2 linked regions of the Macaca mulatta genome follow. The protein of the gene in region 2 binds, or shares a complex with, the protein of the main gene of each other region. Links are inferred from orthologs where the notes say so. Each region holds a gene or a part of one and is shown on either strand. Other genes may lie near its edges.

Region 1 (7,965 bases), on a different chromosome or scaffold from region 2:
GCTACTTGGGAGGCTGAGTCAGGAGAATGCTTGAAGCCAGGAGGCAGGGTTGCAGTGAGCCGAGATGGCACCACTGTACTCCAGCCTGGGTGACAGAGTAAGACTCGGTCTCAAAAAAAGCAAAAAACAAAAGAGAAAAGAAGGAAAAGAAAAATACTGCACATCAGTCTATTCTGAAAAGATCCCTACTTTAAATACGAAAATAGGCTGGGTTCGGTGGCTCATGCCTGTAGTCCCAGCATTTTGGGAGGCCAAGGCAGGCAGATCACCTGAGGTCAGGAGTTCAAAACCAGTTTGGCCAACATGGTGAAACCCCATCTCTACTAAAAATACAAAATCAACCAGGCACTAAAAATACAAAATCAAATCCCATCTCTACTAAAAATAGTGCATGCCTGTTATCCCAGCTGCTCGGGAGGCTGAGGCAGGAGAATTGCTTGAACCTGGGAGGTAGAGATTGCAGTGAGCCGAGATTGCGCCATTGCACTCCAGTCTGGGCAACAAGAATGAAACTCCATCTCAAAAAAAAAAATGATAAAATAAAAATAAATAAATACAAAAATACCTTAAAATGCTGTATTTTTGGCTGGGTACGGTGGCTCACACCTGTAATCTAGCACTTTGGGAGGCCAAGGCAGGTAGATCACCTGAGGTCAGAAGTTTGAGACCAGCCTGGCCAACACAGTGAAACCCTATCTCTGCTAAAAATACAAAAATTAGCTGGATGTGGTGACATGCACTTGTAGTCTCAGCTACTTGGGAGGCTGAGGCAGGAGAACTGCTTGAACCTGGGAGGCGGAGGTTGCAGTGAGCCCAGATGGTGCCACTGCTTGCCTCGGTGACAGAGTGAGACTCCAACTAAAAAGAAAAAGAAAAAAAAAGAAAAGAAAAAGAAAAAGCTGCATTTTAAAAGGGATAGACCTGGCCTGGCATTTTGCTCTTTCTCCCACTTTCTTCATTTTTAAGCTACTTCATTTTCCAGTTAAGTAGTTCCTGAGATTATTCACCATGAACCTATATTCCTTTGGTCTTCAGATTAAACCAGCCTTTTATTCTTAATCAATAATGAAAGGTGGGGGTTAAATAACCACCAAAGTATAAGTAAGTTATTTCATTCTTAGGTTGAAACAATCTGTGTAAATTAATTACTTTGATATTCTGTTTTGTATACAATGAGAATCAACAAGTTTCAATGTAACACTTCGATTAATTTTATCAATGAAAAAAATGGCTTTTCTTTTACAGAATTCCAAATTCTGCATGAATAGCAGGAAAAAAAATGTTGAGAAAACACATCTTGGCTGGGCATTGTGGCTCACATCTGTAATCCCAAAACTTTGGGAGGCTGAGGCAGGTGGACCGCTTGAGCTCAGGAGTTCGAGACCATTCTGGGCAACATAGTGAAACCCACCTCTACCAAAAGTACAAAAAATTAGCTGGATGTGGTGGTATGCATCTGTGGTCCCGGCTACTAGGGAGGCTAAGGTAGGAGGACTGCTTGAGCCCAGGCAGTCAGGGCTGCAGTGAGTCATGATCACACCACTGCACTCCAGCCTGGGCAATAGAGCCAGATCCCACCTCAACAACAACAACAACAACAACAACAACAAACAAACAAACAAAAAAACATGGCTTAACTTCCGACATTCATTCTAAAAGACAAAAGTCATTTGCTCAGGAGGGGTGGATTATTGTAGATAAGTAAGTAGGAGCATATTCCAACCCTCTGTTATGTTTCCTCAGTTTGCAGAGCTACTTTTGAAGTTCAGGGCATAACACAGAAGAGATACAAGGAACCGCACAATGCACAGAGAATCAAGCTGTTTGAATTCAAAGACAAGCTATATTTCCTCATTTCTCTTCCTACAAAAAATTGCAAACATAAAGTAGGTTGCAGATACAATATCAACTTCAGTGTGTTCTGTAAAAAATGAAGGGAAAACATGGAATGATAGCCAAATTATAAAGCATTATCTGTGATGAAATATTGAGAGAAAAATGAAACTGTGTTGTTTCTCAAACTGCTATGCTTTAAAGTTAAGAATAACAGATGCAATACATCAAGCTTCCATGTTAATTCAGCACTTCAAAGTCTATCATTTTTAAATAGCTTTATTGACACATAATTCATATAAAATTCACTCATGTACACAACTGGACGGTTTCAGTATATTCACAGATTTGTACCATCATCACCACAAACAATTTTAGAACATTTTTATCCCCTCAAAAAGAAACTTGGAACTGATTAGCAATCACCATTCTCTCATAACTCCTTATCTCCACATCTAAGGAATTACTAATCTGCTTTCTCTCCTACGGATTTACCTATTCTGGACATTTTAAATAAATGAACCAATAAATGACCTTTTGTGACTGGCTTCTTTCACTCAGCATAATTTCTTCAAGGTTCATCCATGTTGTAGCATGTATCAGTATTTTAGTCTTCTAAAATTACCAAATAATATCCCATCATACATACATATTTTGTCTTTCATTCATCACCTGACAGACATTTGGGTTGTTACTACTTTCTAGCTACTATGAATGTTGCTACTGTGAACATTCATGTAGATGTTCTTATGTGAATATATGTTTTCAGTCCTCTTGGATATGTACTTTGGAATGCAATTGCTTGACTGTATGGTAATGGAGCCTAACTTTTAATAGATCTAGCTGAGTAAATGTCTAACAGAACAATATACTCTAAAATAAGGGTTGCACATACTTTTTAAAAGCACTTGCCCCACCCCATACTAAGTTAACCCATCTGTAACTACCAAAAAAAAAAAAAATTCAGAAACTGAAATTATTTTCTACTTTTTATTTTAAAAAGGTACAGAGTTGGCTGGATGTGATGGCTCACACCTGTAATCCCAGCACTTTGGAAGGCCAAGGTAGGCAGATCACATGAAGCCAGGAGTTCAAGACCAGCCTGGCCAACATGGCAAAACCCTGTCTCTACTAAAAATACAAAAATTAGCTGGGCGTGGTGGCATGTGCCTGGAATCACAGCTACTCAAGAGGCTGAGGTGGGAGAATCATTTGAACCTGGAAGGCATAGGTTGCAGTGAGCCAAGATCACACCACTGCACTCCAGCCTGGGCAACAGATGGAGACTCCATCTCCCACCTTCCAAAAAAAAAAAGGTGCAGAGTTTACTAATTTAAAACATTGATAGTTCATATTTATTTAAACAAAAATGATTGAATTTATCTGTATTTGAGTACAGGAAATACTTAGTGACATTTCTGTAACAGTAAACAGTAACAGAAGCAAACAGCAGCCATGGAACACATAAATAATGAACATTTAAAAATCACTTACTACTGTTTCCTTGGCAGGAGGCGGCTTGATCTGTTGACTGGGAATCAGAACAAAAGTCAAAGTACCATGCATATCAGACTGTAATAGAAAGATCAGATTTTTAAAATTTGTATTTATGAAAATCATTCCATGATTTTATGATCTATATTCCCTAAACTGGACTATTTCAGAACCCCTCCACAGACTTAAATGACCAGAGGCATTTTGCTCTACCAAAGCAATGAATGGGGCTGGGTGAAAATAAGTGTGTGAAGATGTTTCTAGATTTTACAGCAGATAGTAGAGATTCCACTGTAATAACAGAAGCTGAATAACTAGGACCATAAATCTGGTCTGTGGGTATGTACAAAGTGATCATAAATTGCCCTCAAAAGATGTCCAGAAATGATTTTGTGATTATACTAGCACTATCCAATAGAACCTTCTCCAATGATGGAAATGTGCTATTTCTGTATCTTAATAATGGTAGCCATTAGCTACATACTGCTTCTCAGCACTTGAAATGCACCTAATGTGAATAAGGAACTGAATTTTAAATTTTACTTAATTTAAACAGAAATAGCTACATGCAGCTAGTGATTGTTATACCGGACGCTGCAGATCTATAGCACTGCTTTATCTAATATTATTAGGAAAACAACAATCAATTACAGATAATAAAATAAAAGAACACAAAAAATCATGAGGACACAGACTTTGTTTTGTTACTGTTTCCCAAGTGGCCAGTGCATATTAGGCACTCAATAAATATGTACTGAGTGAATTAATGAGTTATATTACTGATTCCAGAAAAATAAAATATATGTGATAGTGATACATCAGAAAGTAGAAAAATACCAGTGGTACCACCCAAAAATAAAACTGCTAACAAATACTGTGGAACAGTTATATCATGGAAAAATCAGGCTAGAAATCATCCAGCGCTCATAACAGTTACTTAAAAAATATTTTAAAGTCTAATAAGAACTTTCTAAAAGCTATCAATCATTCTTCTAGCTGTGTCAACTTACCAGCAAGTCAAAAACCTCATTGACATCTTTCCCCCGAATTTCAATGCCATTAATCTCTAGAACTTCATCTCCTTCATGCAACAGACCACTTTTCTCTGCAGCACCCCCTTTTACTATCCGGCTAATGATGACAGAGTCCATTTCATTACGAACTGTAGCACCCTAAAAAAAAAAAAATACATATATATATATATATCTCTCTCTCTCTCTCTCTAATTTAAAAACAAAAATAATATGATTTTTGTTAAGTATTTATTTATTTTTAAATTCTATTTTTTCTATTCAACAATACTAACCTTCAGTTAAGAAAAAATGTATTTACACAACTAGAGTAATCATAATTAGATTTAAAAGTTGACCATTTCCCCCACATTTTCCACTTCAGAAATACTCTATTCATTAGAATTCTGAAGTTAACCAGACTTCTGAAGCACACAACAGCAGAAAAATGCACTTGTTTAAAAACAGTATGTGGGACACTTACCAATGGAATATCACGAGCCTTTTCTATACGAACTATTTTTACAGTTTCTCCTCCATACTGGCCAATACTTTCATAAACTCTCTCATCTGTAATGGGCTCTAGCTGCATTTCCTGTTCAGCAACCTTATCGTGGGCCAGTAAAAGTGCCTGTTTCAAAGAAATCCATGGTATTTTAAGTAACAGCATGATTTAGTTCTGCACAGTGATTTTTAACCTCACTATGTACATAGTATTCTGACCATTAAATCTTTAAAAGAGCTATAATTAATTACAGCTAATAATAAAGATGTGTTAAGTATACTAAGGGCATACTCTGGAATGGGTTATGAAAGTCTAAAATGCTTATTAAACTTCATAAAATAACATCAATGTAAAGGCTTAAACACTGTAGATAATTAAAACTTACAGAAAATATCACCAAAGGGGGGAAGAATTTTTGCCTAACTTTTAAAGAAAAAGTTGTTTCAAAATAATTTAGTTCATTTTAAATCTGAAAATATATAATCCAACAATAACTACTATGTTATAGATGGGGTTGTAAACATCAAAATAGGCTAGAGAATGTTTGACATCTCTTCCAGCCCTGGGATCTTTGATTTAAAAAAATAAAAGAACAACACTGGAAAAACCACATATATAATATTCTGTCCATTTTCTACCTGAATATGTGGAGTATTCAGCAAAGCAGTTAGTTCTTGTCCTTCCTTATGATGGACTGGCTTCAAAACAGTTTGTACCTAAGAAACAAAAATAAAGATTATTCTTCCTAGATTATAGGAAGTATCAGTAGCACCTGTATGCAGGGTCATATTTTTTTAAAGTACAAATTAAAATAATAAAAAATGCTTGTAAGAAATAAAATCACCAAAAAGAATCATGAGAGTTTTCAATCTTGTTATTATGGATAACAACAGTACTTCTTATTAAAAAAAAAACACTAAGATTTTGGTACTTATGCCTATAGACAAAATACTTCCATCTTGAAAGTTTCTCCCAACATACCATAAAATTCATTAATAATTACATAAGAAAAGAAAAACTGTCCTAACAGTTACCTTGCTATTTTATAGTTTTTAAATCATTTATGTGACTATTTAAAATCAGAGATGACAACTTAAAGAGTTATAGTCAAGGCTGGGCGCAGTGGCTCACACCTGTAATTCCAGCACTTTGGGAGGCTGAGGCAAGTGGATTGCTTGAGTCCAGGAGTTTGAGACCAGCCTGGGCAACATAGTGAGACCCTGTCTCTATTTTATAAATTTTTTTATATAATTAAAAAAAAAAAGAGTGACAGTCTAACAAGATGAATTTATATGAGTGCAATGGAACAATCACCATAACATAATGGATTACATTAAATTTCCCACAGTCGAGAAATCTTTGTCTTCCTACGATAAACTCCCCTTGCTTATAAATTTTTTTAGCCTGTTTCCTTATCTACTACTTATGGTGCTTCAAAGACTGATTAAGAAAATCTTAAAACAGGCCAGATGCAATGGTTCACACCAGTAATCCCAGCACTTTGGGAGGCCAAAGCAGGCAGATCACTTGCAGTCAGGAGTTCAAGACCAGCACGGCCAAAATGGCAAAATACTGTCTCTACTAAAAATACAAAAATTAGCCAACCGTGGTGGTGTGTGCCTGTAATTCCAGCTACTCAAGAGGCTGAGGCATGAGAATGACTTGAACCCATGAGGTAGAGGTTGTAGTGAGTTAAGATGGTGCCACTGCACTCCAGCCTGGATGATGTAATGAGACTGTCTCAAAAAAAAAAAAAAGAGTAACTTATAATTAATACAGGAACCCAGTAATTCTATACCTTTTATGGCTATTTTAAATCATTTTATCAGTAATTTCCCTATGAAACCCAAGAGATGATAATTTGGGGATTAATTAACTTTACCATAGCAAGTGGATCAAAGCAATGACAGTACCAAAACCAGTCTGTCCTCAGGTTTTGGTACTTAGAAAATTATATTTCTAATTGTAGAGTTCTATATGTATAAACGGGATGGCAGAGCAAATATTATCTTCTCCAAGAACTCAACTAAAATCTTACAATGGACAAGGCTTTAAGGCTTTAAGACCCAGGATTTAAGACTGTGGGTAACTAAAAGTTGTTTTTAAAAGAGGGTATTTTCCCTTTTAAAGTTTATCAAGTCTACATTAATTTTAAATGAAATTTGTAGTCTTGATCATACACCTTTTGACAGCTGAAGAAACTCTGAGGATGGGAAGATAATTCTGGATTAAAAATGTACCAAGGGTGTACACTTTTACACTGAGTCAGCTCAATAATAATTTTCTGTATCAGAGATTCTTTCCATATTCCCACTTCTAAGTCAGTTCCTAAACATCTCTGAGATCCTCCCTTCTAAAGAAATTTAGAACTCCCGTGTTTACCCACTGCCCTACTAACCTATATGTTGCTTATTCTAGTGTCAACACATACCATCAGCTACTTCTACAATGGCGTTAAGGAATTAAAAAGCTATTCTTTTATTCTACTGCTCCTTTCCATTGGCCTATAAAAATGCCCTAATCTCTTATCTTTAAAAATACCTTTTCCTGACCTTGTACACTTCTTTAGCTATACTACTTTTCCTTGTTTCCTTCAGAAGCAAGATCTTTTTGCATTTTAAAACTAATTTTTTAATTATAAAAATGATTTTAAATGTGAAAAATCAGAAAATTGATAAGCAAAAGGAAGGAAGTACAAAGATGGACTTTTATTATACTTAGGGATAATCACTTTCGTATATATCCTTCCTTCATTTTTCTACTTGTTTTTACCAAAATATTTACCTTGATATATGTATCTGACAAAGAACTTGTAGCCAGAATATATTAAGAACTCTTACAACTCAAGACGATTAAAATGGAAAGAGATTTGACTGGATATTTCACAAAAGATAGAGAAACAGCCAATACACATATAGAATAATGCTAAATATCATTAGTCGCTATGTAAATGCAAATCAAAACAAGATACTATTACCTACCTACTAGAATCATAAACAGGAAACAACCTACATATTCATCAATAGGTGAGTGGTCAAATTGTGGGATATTGAAAGAATGAAATGATAGTCAGCAATTTACAAACTACTGATACAAGAACAACATGGATGAATCTCAAAAACA
Region 2 (7,965 bases):
CAAATACCAACTTTAAACACCTCCCAGTCTCAGAAACCATGGAACCATATTGTATCAGTCAGGTGAATAATTTCTGTACTCCTTCCCCCGTTTTTTGACACCAACTTCAGTCTTCTAGGGGACAGAACACATAAATCTGAGGGTGGAGACAATGGAAGAATAGAAAGAGGGAAGAAGGCTTCCGAATACTCCTTCAAGACAGCCTGAAGTTAGCCTAGCAAAGACGATTTTATTCTAAATTGCATTGAGACTTTTGATCATTCTATGTGACTGGCCATTCTAATTGCTGTGGGTGTTTTTTTTTAAGAGATCGTGACACTACTATCAAATAGTAAGCCGAAAAGTCCTGGGGTCTGCTGAAGATTTTTATCTAGAGGCAATGAAACCCTTCCCCAGTTAAATATGTTTCAAGATAGGGCGGGAGAAAAAATCATGTTTTGCTTTTGTTATGCTGTATAAGTTATTCAATAGTTTTACCCTCAAATACTTGTTATTACTTTTTTTGTTCTTAAAATGCTTTGAAAATCAAGTTTAAGTAAAATATCTTCTAGTACAAAAGTTTCAACTTTTCATATTCAGTTATATTAAACTTATATTGGAACACCCCTTTAGAATATACTGTAGTTTACCTGTAATTCCTATGTCAGTTTTCTGTGCTTCCCAGGATGACTATATAACAAATAGATTAGTTCCATTCAGTTCTATTCTTTCTATTCATCAAACATTTAATAATTCATACCCTCAGCACTGTACAGGTGTTGTGGGTGGCTCTAAGTAAGATTATAACATGTCCACTGTTTTCACAGAGCTTGAAATATTTTTGAGTTGACTAAGCTTGTATGAAAGTAATCCTAGTACAGTAAAATATAAGTACAATAGAGTCCAATCAAGTGCCTAGATATGTAGATCATAAATGGCAGTAGATCATCAAAGATTAACATTGCATACATTTATCTAAAAGTTTACACAAAGAAAGCACTTTGGTTTTGAATCAGATTGAATGCATTATAAAAATATTTAATCACTTTAGGAAAGTCATAATGAATTCATTCATTCCAAAATTAATTACTAAATAGCTAATACAAGCCAGGTACTATGCTGTTTTAGACATACATCGGTGAATAAAACAGACATTTTCCTTCCATCAAGGAAAGCACAATTTGATGAGATTCTAGACTAATATGCTGTCCAAGTAAATCCCTCATATAAAATTATGCAATTTACAGGGCATTACACATGCCCACACTTTCTAAATAGTTTATCTCAATGACTACGGTACTATTTGAATTTTGTCATTAGAGGATAATTCTTTCTTACTACTTTTTAGTAATGGCCAATACTTATTGAGAACTTGTTATATACCAGACAATGTTATGAATATTTACATGTCTTATCTTGTTTAATCTTTAAAAGAGCCTTGTGATGTAAATGCTATTATTAATCCCATTCATAGATGAGGAAGCTGAAATACAGAAAGTGTGTGTAACCTGCTCATGATCAAGCAGTATAGCTGGGGTTCTGATCCAACATCATCAATATAGGAATCTTTGGATTAATTTTTTAAAAACACGCATTTGGGCATAGAGTTAAATGGGAAAATAAGACATGCATATTAATAACAAACAATAAATGAGAATACACTAAATTATTAATTAAAAAACAGTGTGTACGATTGGATTTTTTTTTCTTTTTTTTTGAGACAAGAGTCTTGCTTTGTCGCCCAGGCTGGAGAGCAGTGGCGTGATCTTGGCTCACTGCAATCTTCACCTCCCGAGTTCGAGATTGTCCTGCCTCAGCCTTCAGAGTAGCTGGGATTACAGGCATGCGCCACCATGCTTGGCAAATTTTTGCATTTTTAGTAAAGATAGGATTTCACCGTGTTGGCCAGGCTGATCTGAAACTCCTGGCCTCAAGCAATCCGCCCGACTAGGCCTCCTAGGATTACAGGTATGAGCTACCAAGCATGGCCAGGTTGGATTTTTAAAATTTACCTAATTTAGGCCAGGTGTGGTGGCTCGCACCTGTAATCCCAGCACTTTGGGAGGCCGAGGCGAGTGGATCACGAGGTCAGGAGATCGAGACCATCCTGGCTAATGTGGTGAAACTCCGTCTCTACCAAAAAAAAAAAAAATTAGCCAGGCGTGGTGGCAGGCACCTGTAGTCCCAGCTGCTCGGGAGGCTGAGGCAGGAGAATGGTGTGAACCTGGGAGGCAGAGCTTGTAGTGAGCCAAGATTGCACTACTGCACTCCAGCCTAGGCGACAGAGCGAGACTCCATCTCAAAAACAAAACTAGTTAATTTAGGGTCTGATGGTAAAAGTGCTTTGGAATTTACACTTTGCTCTTTCTACACCTCAATGTATTCTGTGAAAGAGAACTAAAAATATCTGCTTTGAAAACCTCAGAAAATTGTAGTGAGCACAAATATAATAATTTGAATGAAGATGTTGGGGAAACCATAAAGTCCTATGCATATGTCAGTTTTTATTGTTACTCTTTGTTCATCTGAATCTCCCTGGAAAAGCAACGGCCATCCCCTTTAAAAGGTGTTATACTTCTTCGTGTTACTTTTTTTAAAATGAATTCTAATAATTTCCTAATTAGATAGCTTTTTTGACTTGGAATCAGAAAACAAAAATAGAAAGTGAAGTTAAAACAATAAACAGGAAAGGAGCTTGTTATGGTGTACACATCATGATTTACACTAGCATTGTAGGGAAGGGGGAAACGGGGACTTCCATTCACCTTAGAAGCCCTTCATGGTGAGAGCTGTTTGGACTATTTATATTTCTGGCAAACTCTTAGGAATTATGGGGAAATATAAACAAGATATAAGACAAAATCACTGTTTCCAAGTAGAATAGAATGAAATCTACAGCCAAGGACAGAATATACAATGTCTGAGAAAAAAGTCCCGAAATAAATAAATTGTATCTTACATCAATGCCAAGAGCGATCTTTTTTCTCTTTTTGGTTTGTATGATATTCAGTGCTGCATGTATATCTGACAATGATAGCTGGAATCAATCACAGTGTTTAGCAAATTATCTATTCCTAGAGGAAGAATACAAAGCCTGCCATGACTGCATCTTTTTTCTTCACGACACATGTGGAATATAGAATTGATTTTACTTTCCCTTAATAAGTGTTTACATTTTACTCCATTACAGTTCTAAATCTGAGCTATCCATGCACTTCTGCAAGATTATACATGCAAATTATGTGAAACTTCTATTTTTGATGCGAATATATCTAATTTTAACCCTTTTTTATTATGTAACAGGAATCCACTGTGAAGAAGACGTCAATGAATGTTCTTCAAACCCTTGCCAAAATGGTGGTACTTGTGAGAACTTGCCTGGGAATTATACTTGCCATTGCCCATTTGATAACCTTTCTAGAACTTTTTATGGAGGAAGGGACTGTTCTGATATTCTCCTGGGCTGTACCCATCAGCAATGCCTAAATAATGGAATATGCATCCCTCACTTCCAAGATGGCCAGCATGGATTCGGCTGCCTGTGTCCATCTGGCTACACCGGGTCCCTGTGTGAAATCGCAACCACACTTTCATTTGAGGGTGATGGTTTCCTGTGGGTCAAAACTGGCTCAGCGACAACCAAGGGCTCAGTTTGTAACATAGCCCTCAGGTTTCAGACTGTTCAGCCAGTGGCTCTTCTACTTTTCCGAGGCAACAGGGATGTGTTTGTGAAGCTGGAGCTGCTAAGTGGCTACATTCACTTATCAATTCAGGTCAACAGTCAGCCAAAGGTGCTTCTGTACATTTCCCACAACACCAGCGACGGAGAGTGGCATTTCGTGGAGGTAATATTTGCAGAGGCTGTGACCCTTACCTTAATCGACGACTCCTGTAAGGAGAAATGCATCTCGAAAGCTCCTTCTCCACTTGAAAGTGATCAATCAATATGTGCTTTTCAGAACTCCTTTTTGGGTGGTTTACCAGTGGGGACAACCAGCGATGGTGTCGCTCTACTTAAGTTCTATAATATACCATCCACACCTTCGTTTGTAGGCTGTCTCCAAGATATTAAAATTGATTGGAATCACATTACCCTGGAGAACATCTCGTCTGTCTCATCATTAAATGTCAAGGCAGGCTGTGTGAGAAAGGATTGGTGTGAAAGCCAACCTTGTCAAAGCAGAGGACGCTGCATCAACTTGTGGCTGAGTTACCAGTGTGACTGCCACAGGCCCTATAAAGGCCCCAACTGTCTGAGAGGTGAGAGAAAGCTGACTGCTATGGCTGGGAGTGCCGTGCCTCAGAGCAGAGCAGAAACAGCAAAAACAGCCACACTGCTTCTGCCTGCTATGAAACATAATGACCCCACAGGACTTCTGCTGCTGGTTGCCCACTGATGAGAAAGAAAAGAAGAGGGCAGTGATGTGCATTAATTAATTTTGAGTGGATTCACAGGGCATAAGTTTCACTCATACAGAGAAGTAAAAAAAAAAATAAGCAGATAGCTCCTTTCCAAAGAGGTTTTCATCTTTGTGTTTGCAAAATGCTCTTGCAATTTTACCATTGGTTGCATATCAGAAATGTATGTAAATCTTATTTGAAAGAGAAATAATTCTTTTGAAAAAAGGACCCTTAGACATAAAATTTGTCAGTGCCACATACTAGCATGATATCTTGTGCATAGTAAATTCTCGGTACATATTCATTTCCTTGCTCTCCTTTCTATGCAATTCACACTTGCTCCAAAATCATAATTAAGCATAGCGTTTTTATAAAACACCAATTTTATTCAAAGGTATCTTTTCCAAGGCTGCCCTGGGGAAGACAGATAATATACTAGGTGTCTTAAGGAAAAAAAAAGAAAAGAAAATGTGGAAAGTAACAATAGTAGAACTTGGTAGATGCCATAAACTAATTGATCGAATTTCTCTAGTAAACCACAGTTTGAAAAGTATTTCAAAATCCTTAACTTCCAACATTGTTCTAGAGATTGCTGTTGATAGTGATCAATACGTACCTGTTTCTTTTTATTATTATTATCATACATTGAAAAAGTCTGAGATGTAATTGTAACAGACTGCTTTGAAGTTCAGCTGTAATTTACCCCAAGATTTTAGAGTAACTTGAAGTAGGACAACATCTGGTAAGTAGTCTTCTCTGCTTTATATGAAGTAAAATTAAAACCAGTCTTAGCCTATACTCTATTCCATGTTCAAATGTCTAAGAATTATTAGAAACTACTCAAGGGTTTCCCCCTGACCACAATATTCATTACAAATCATGGACCTGTTTGACAATGAAGTATGGCATCTACTAGCTATACGTAATATTTTAAGTAGAATGGCAAGTTGTTTTGTGATTTTTTTAAGGAGAAAAAGGGAAATTATGCTGAGGCAATGTTCACTTTTTGAAGAAAAATTTAATTGACCAAAGGCAATATTTTTACTACATATACAAAATAACAAACAGATGCTGACTCATTTTGACTGGCTTCCAGATGCAGTGACCCATAAGGTTAATACTGACCATGGTGATGTTAACTGTCCTAGTAAATAGATTCAAGAGATGCCAGTCCAGTGGGTTCTGGTTTTCTTTATTTTATCCAACTTGGAAAACCATGAACTTTTCAAACCAAGTTCCTGAATTGGTTACCCTTCCCCCGCTTCTCCCAGTTTCCTTATACTCCAACATTATTTGAAACTGTTTAACCCTCATGAAAATGTTTGACTTCAAAAGATCACTTTACAGAGAGAGAGTTCTGTAAAATCTTTTCTTTCTGAAAATTCTTGGTATAAATTTAAGGAAAATTATATTTTTCATATCACTTCTTCATTAGAAAATTAAACTATTCGGTATTTTCTGTTATCTAGAAGGAATGTTTCCTGGAGCGTTTACTCCCACTACAAACAATGCTTTTAAGCAGTAATGAGAACATGGAATCTTTCTGCTACTGTACATGTGTATTCAAGAGGGAGGAGACATACTAAAAAGCACAAAGGCAAACTTCAGCCCATTCATGACTTGCACTCTTATTTAGCTCAATGTTTTCCAACCATGGTACACGCTGTAATGAACAAGGAGATTGGATAGAAGATTTTGGTGGCTGACTAAACACAAAAGACATAGTGATTTCCAATAACTCAAGGTTGATCTTTTTAAAATAATCTAATTTATCAACAGAAAGAGTACTGAAAAGGATTTAACTAAGCTTAGTTTACAGAAGTGTCCATAAAGTTCTCTCAGCATATCTTGTGTTGACTGTTTGTAAGAACATGGAGCATTCAAGATATTACTACTTAGAATAAATGACATCACCTACCTCTTGCTCTCTGGTGAATATTTGACTTACAAAAGCAATTTACATGTCTCTTCTCTTCAGCCATATACCTAGATTTTGAGAATTTTATTCTCTTAGAATTGTAGTTTCCTAGATATAGAAGAGGCTTCATTCTATGATGGAATTTTTAACACTATTGTACCTGCCAAATGTAGTGGCTCAAATCTCTGCTTAAATACCTTCAGAAATAGAGAGATCACTCACTCCGTCTTGCCAAAAATTGCCCAAAAGTTATTTCCTTATATTGAAATAAAATATGATTTGCCTGTAGCTTTCCTTCATTGACCATGTTGCAATTCTGGAAGACATGCAAATGAAAATCTGAACTTGCCTGCTACTTGAGAATACTTAATATCTGAAGAAAAGTATCTTCGGCCATCTAAGCCATCACTTCTATTCGGGCTAAACTTCCTGTTTCTTCTAATGTTTGCCATATGACATAGTTTTCCACACTTCATCAGCTGCTTGCAGGTTTTGGAATATATTTGCTGCTTTGTATTCCTTCTAAGATGTGATGTCTGTATGTCCTTGATGATACAGTGACACAGGGCCACAACCTCCCTTATTCTAGAAAATGTGCTTATGCTTTTCAGCTTAATACAACATTGACTTTTTGGCAGCCACACTTCGTGATTGCATCATTTTTTATCATTGTCACTCATGATGCCACGTAGTCCTGTTTCTCCTACTCTAAACTTATAAGGCACATTTAGATCGAAGTGGCTCTCATTTATTCTTGTTAAATTTCATCTCGTTGTATTCCATCTGTCATTAAAGCTTGTCAAAATTGTTTTTCATCTGTATATGTTGTCCCTCTTCATAACATGTCAACCACTTGTATGAGAATCACCCTTCCAAATCTACAGCCAAGTCATACATGTCTTCAGGTGTTTCTAAAATCATGTAGCAAATCGCACATGCTGACTAGTTGCTTGTGATTTCTGAGGAATAGGACTGCTGAAGAGTCAGGCTTCTGAGAAAAAAAAATAGTCTGCGTTTTGGCTTTTAATCCGGATCCACAAAGTGATGCTGAAGGCATCCTGGGATGACCAGCAGGCACCCCGCTACCCCTGAGGTTGAGTGATTCTGGGCATATCTTCAAACCTCAGGGGCTTCAAGGACCAAATTTTCTTATTAAGCATTTTATCTCATATGAAAGTGCTGCAGTGTATTCATAGATGTTAACCTCTTCAAAGGGGTTATTTTATCTAACAGTACACTTTTGAAAGCTACCGGTAGTTGCCTGGAGCAGGTGGTCTCCAAATGCAGATTCAAAATGCAATGTTCCTGTAGGAAATCAAGTCAGAGTTCTGAAAATATAGCCTTTTATGCAGAAGATCTTCAAACACAGATGATTGTCTAAGCAAGTTTTACTATAGTTCAGCTAAACTAAAATGTGTCTTACCTTTACCCAAACTTCAACTGGGCCATATGACGACATTTAGACATGCTGAAATATGCTCTTTTTGTCTGGTTAGCATTGGGATATAAAATCTTGAGGACAGCAATATCTTGAATACAGTGCTCTTGTCATGTTATCAATGCTTTCTAGATTGCAAAATCAATAGTCAATTTTCAGCCCCCATCTTGCTTAATTTCTCAATACCAGTTAACACAATTAAACACTCCCTCCTCCTGAAAACCTATTT

What was found. The genes of interacting proteins can lie anywhere in the genome.
Region 1: the proteins of CRB1 (region 2) and PALS1 are in contact, whole or in part, in a crystal structure (PDB 4UU5), measured with the Homo sapiens proteins. The link is inferred for Macaca mulatta from reciprocal best matches to the Homo sapiens genes CRB1 and PALS1. Residues at the interface, in NP_957705.1 of Homo sapiens: Ala1401, Met1402, Glu1403, Arg1404, Leu1405, Ile1406; in NP_071919.2 of Homo sapiens: Lys261, Pro266, Leu267, Gly268, Ala269, Thr270, Val271, Arg272, Asn273, Ser281, Arg282, Val284, Val314, Asn315, Val317, Phe318, Leu321.

Annotation. Positions count from the first base shown.
Region 1 is NC_133412.1:140,469,520-140,477,484, reverse strand, and holds part of PALS1 (protein PALS1), read right to left. Parts: intron 5,559-7,965; coding exon 5,481-5,558; intron 4,969-5,480; coding exon 4,822-4,968; intron 4,500-4,821; coding exon 4,338-4,499; intron 3,406-4,337; coding exon 3,328-3,405; intron 1-3,327. UniProt on the Homo sapiens protein: Plays a role in tight junction biogenesis and in the establishment of cell polarity in epithelial cells.
Region 2 is NC_133406.1:55,030,309-55,038,273, forward strand, and holds part of CRB1 (protein crumbs homolog 1), read left to right. Parts: intron 1-3,282; coding exon 3,283-4,239; intron 4,240-7,965. UniProt on the Homo sapiens protein: Plays a role in photoreceptor morphogenesis in the retina. May maintain cell polarization and adhesion.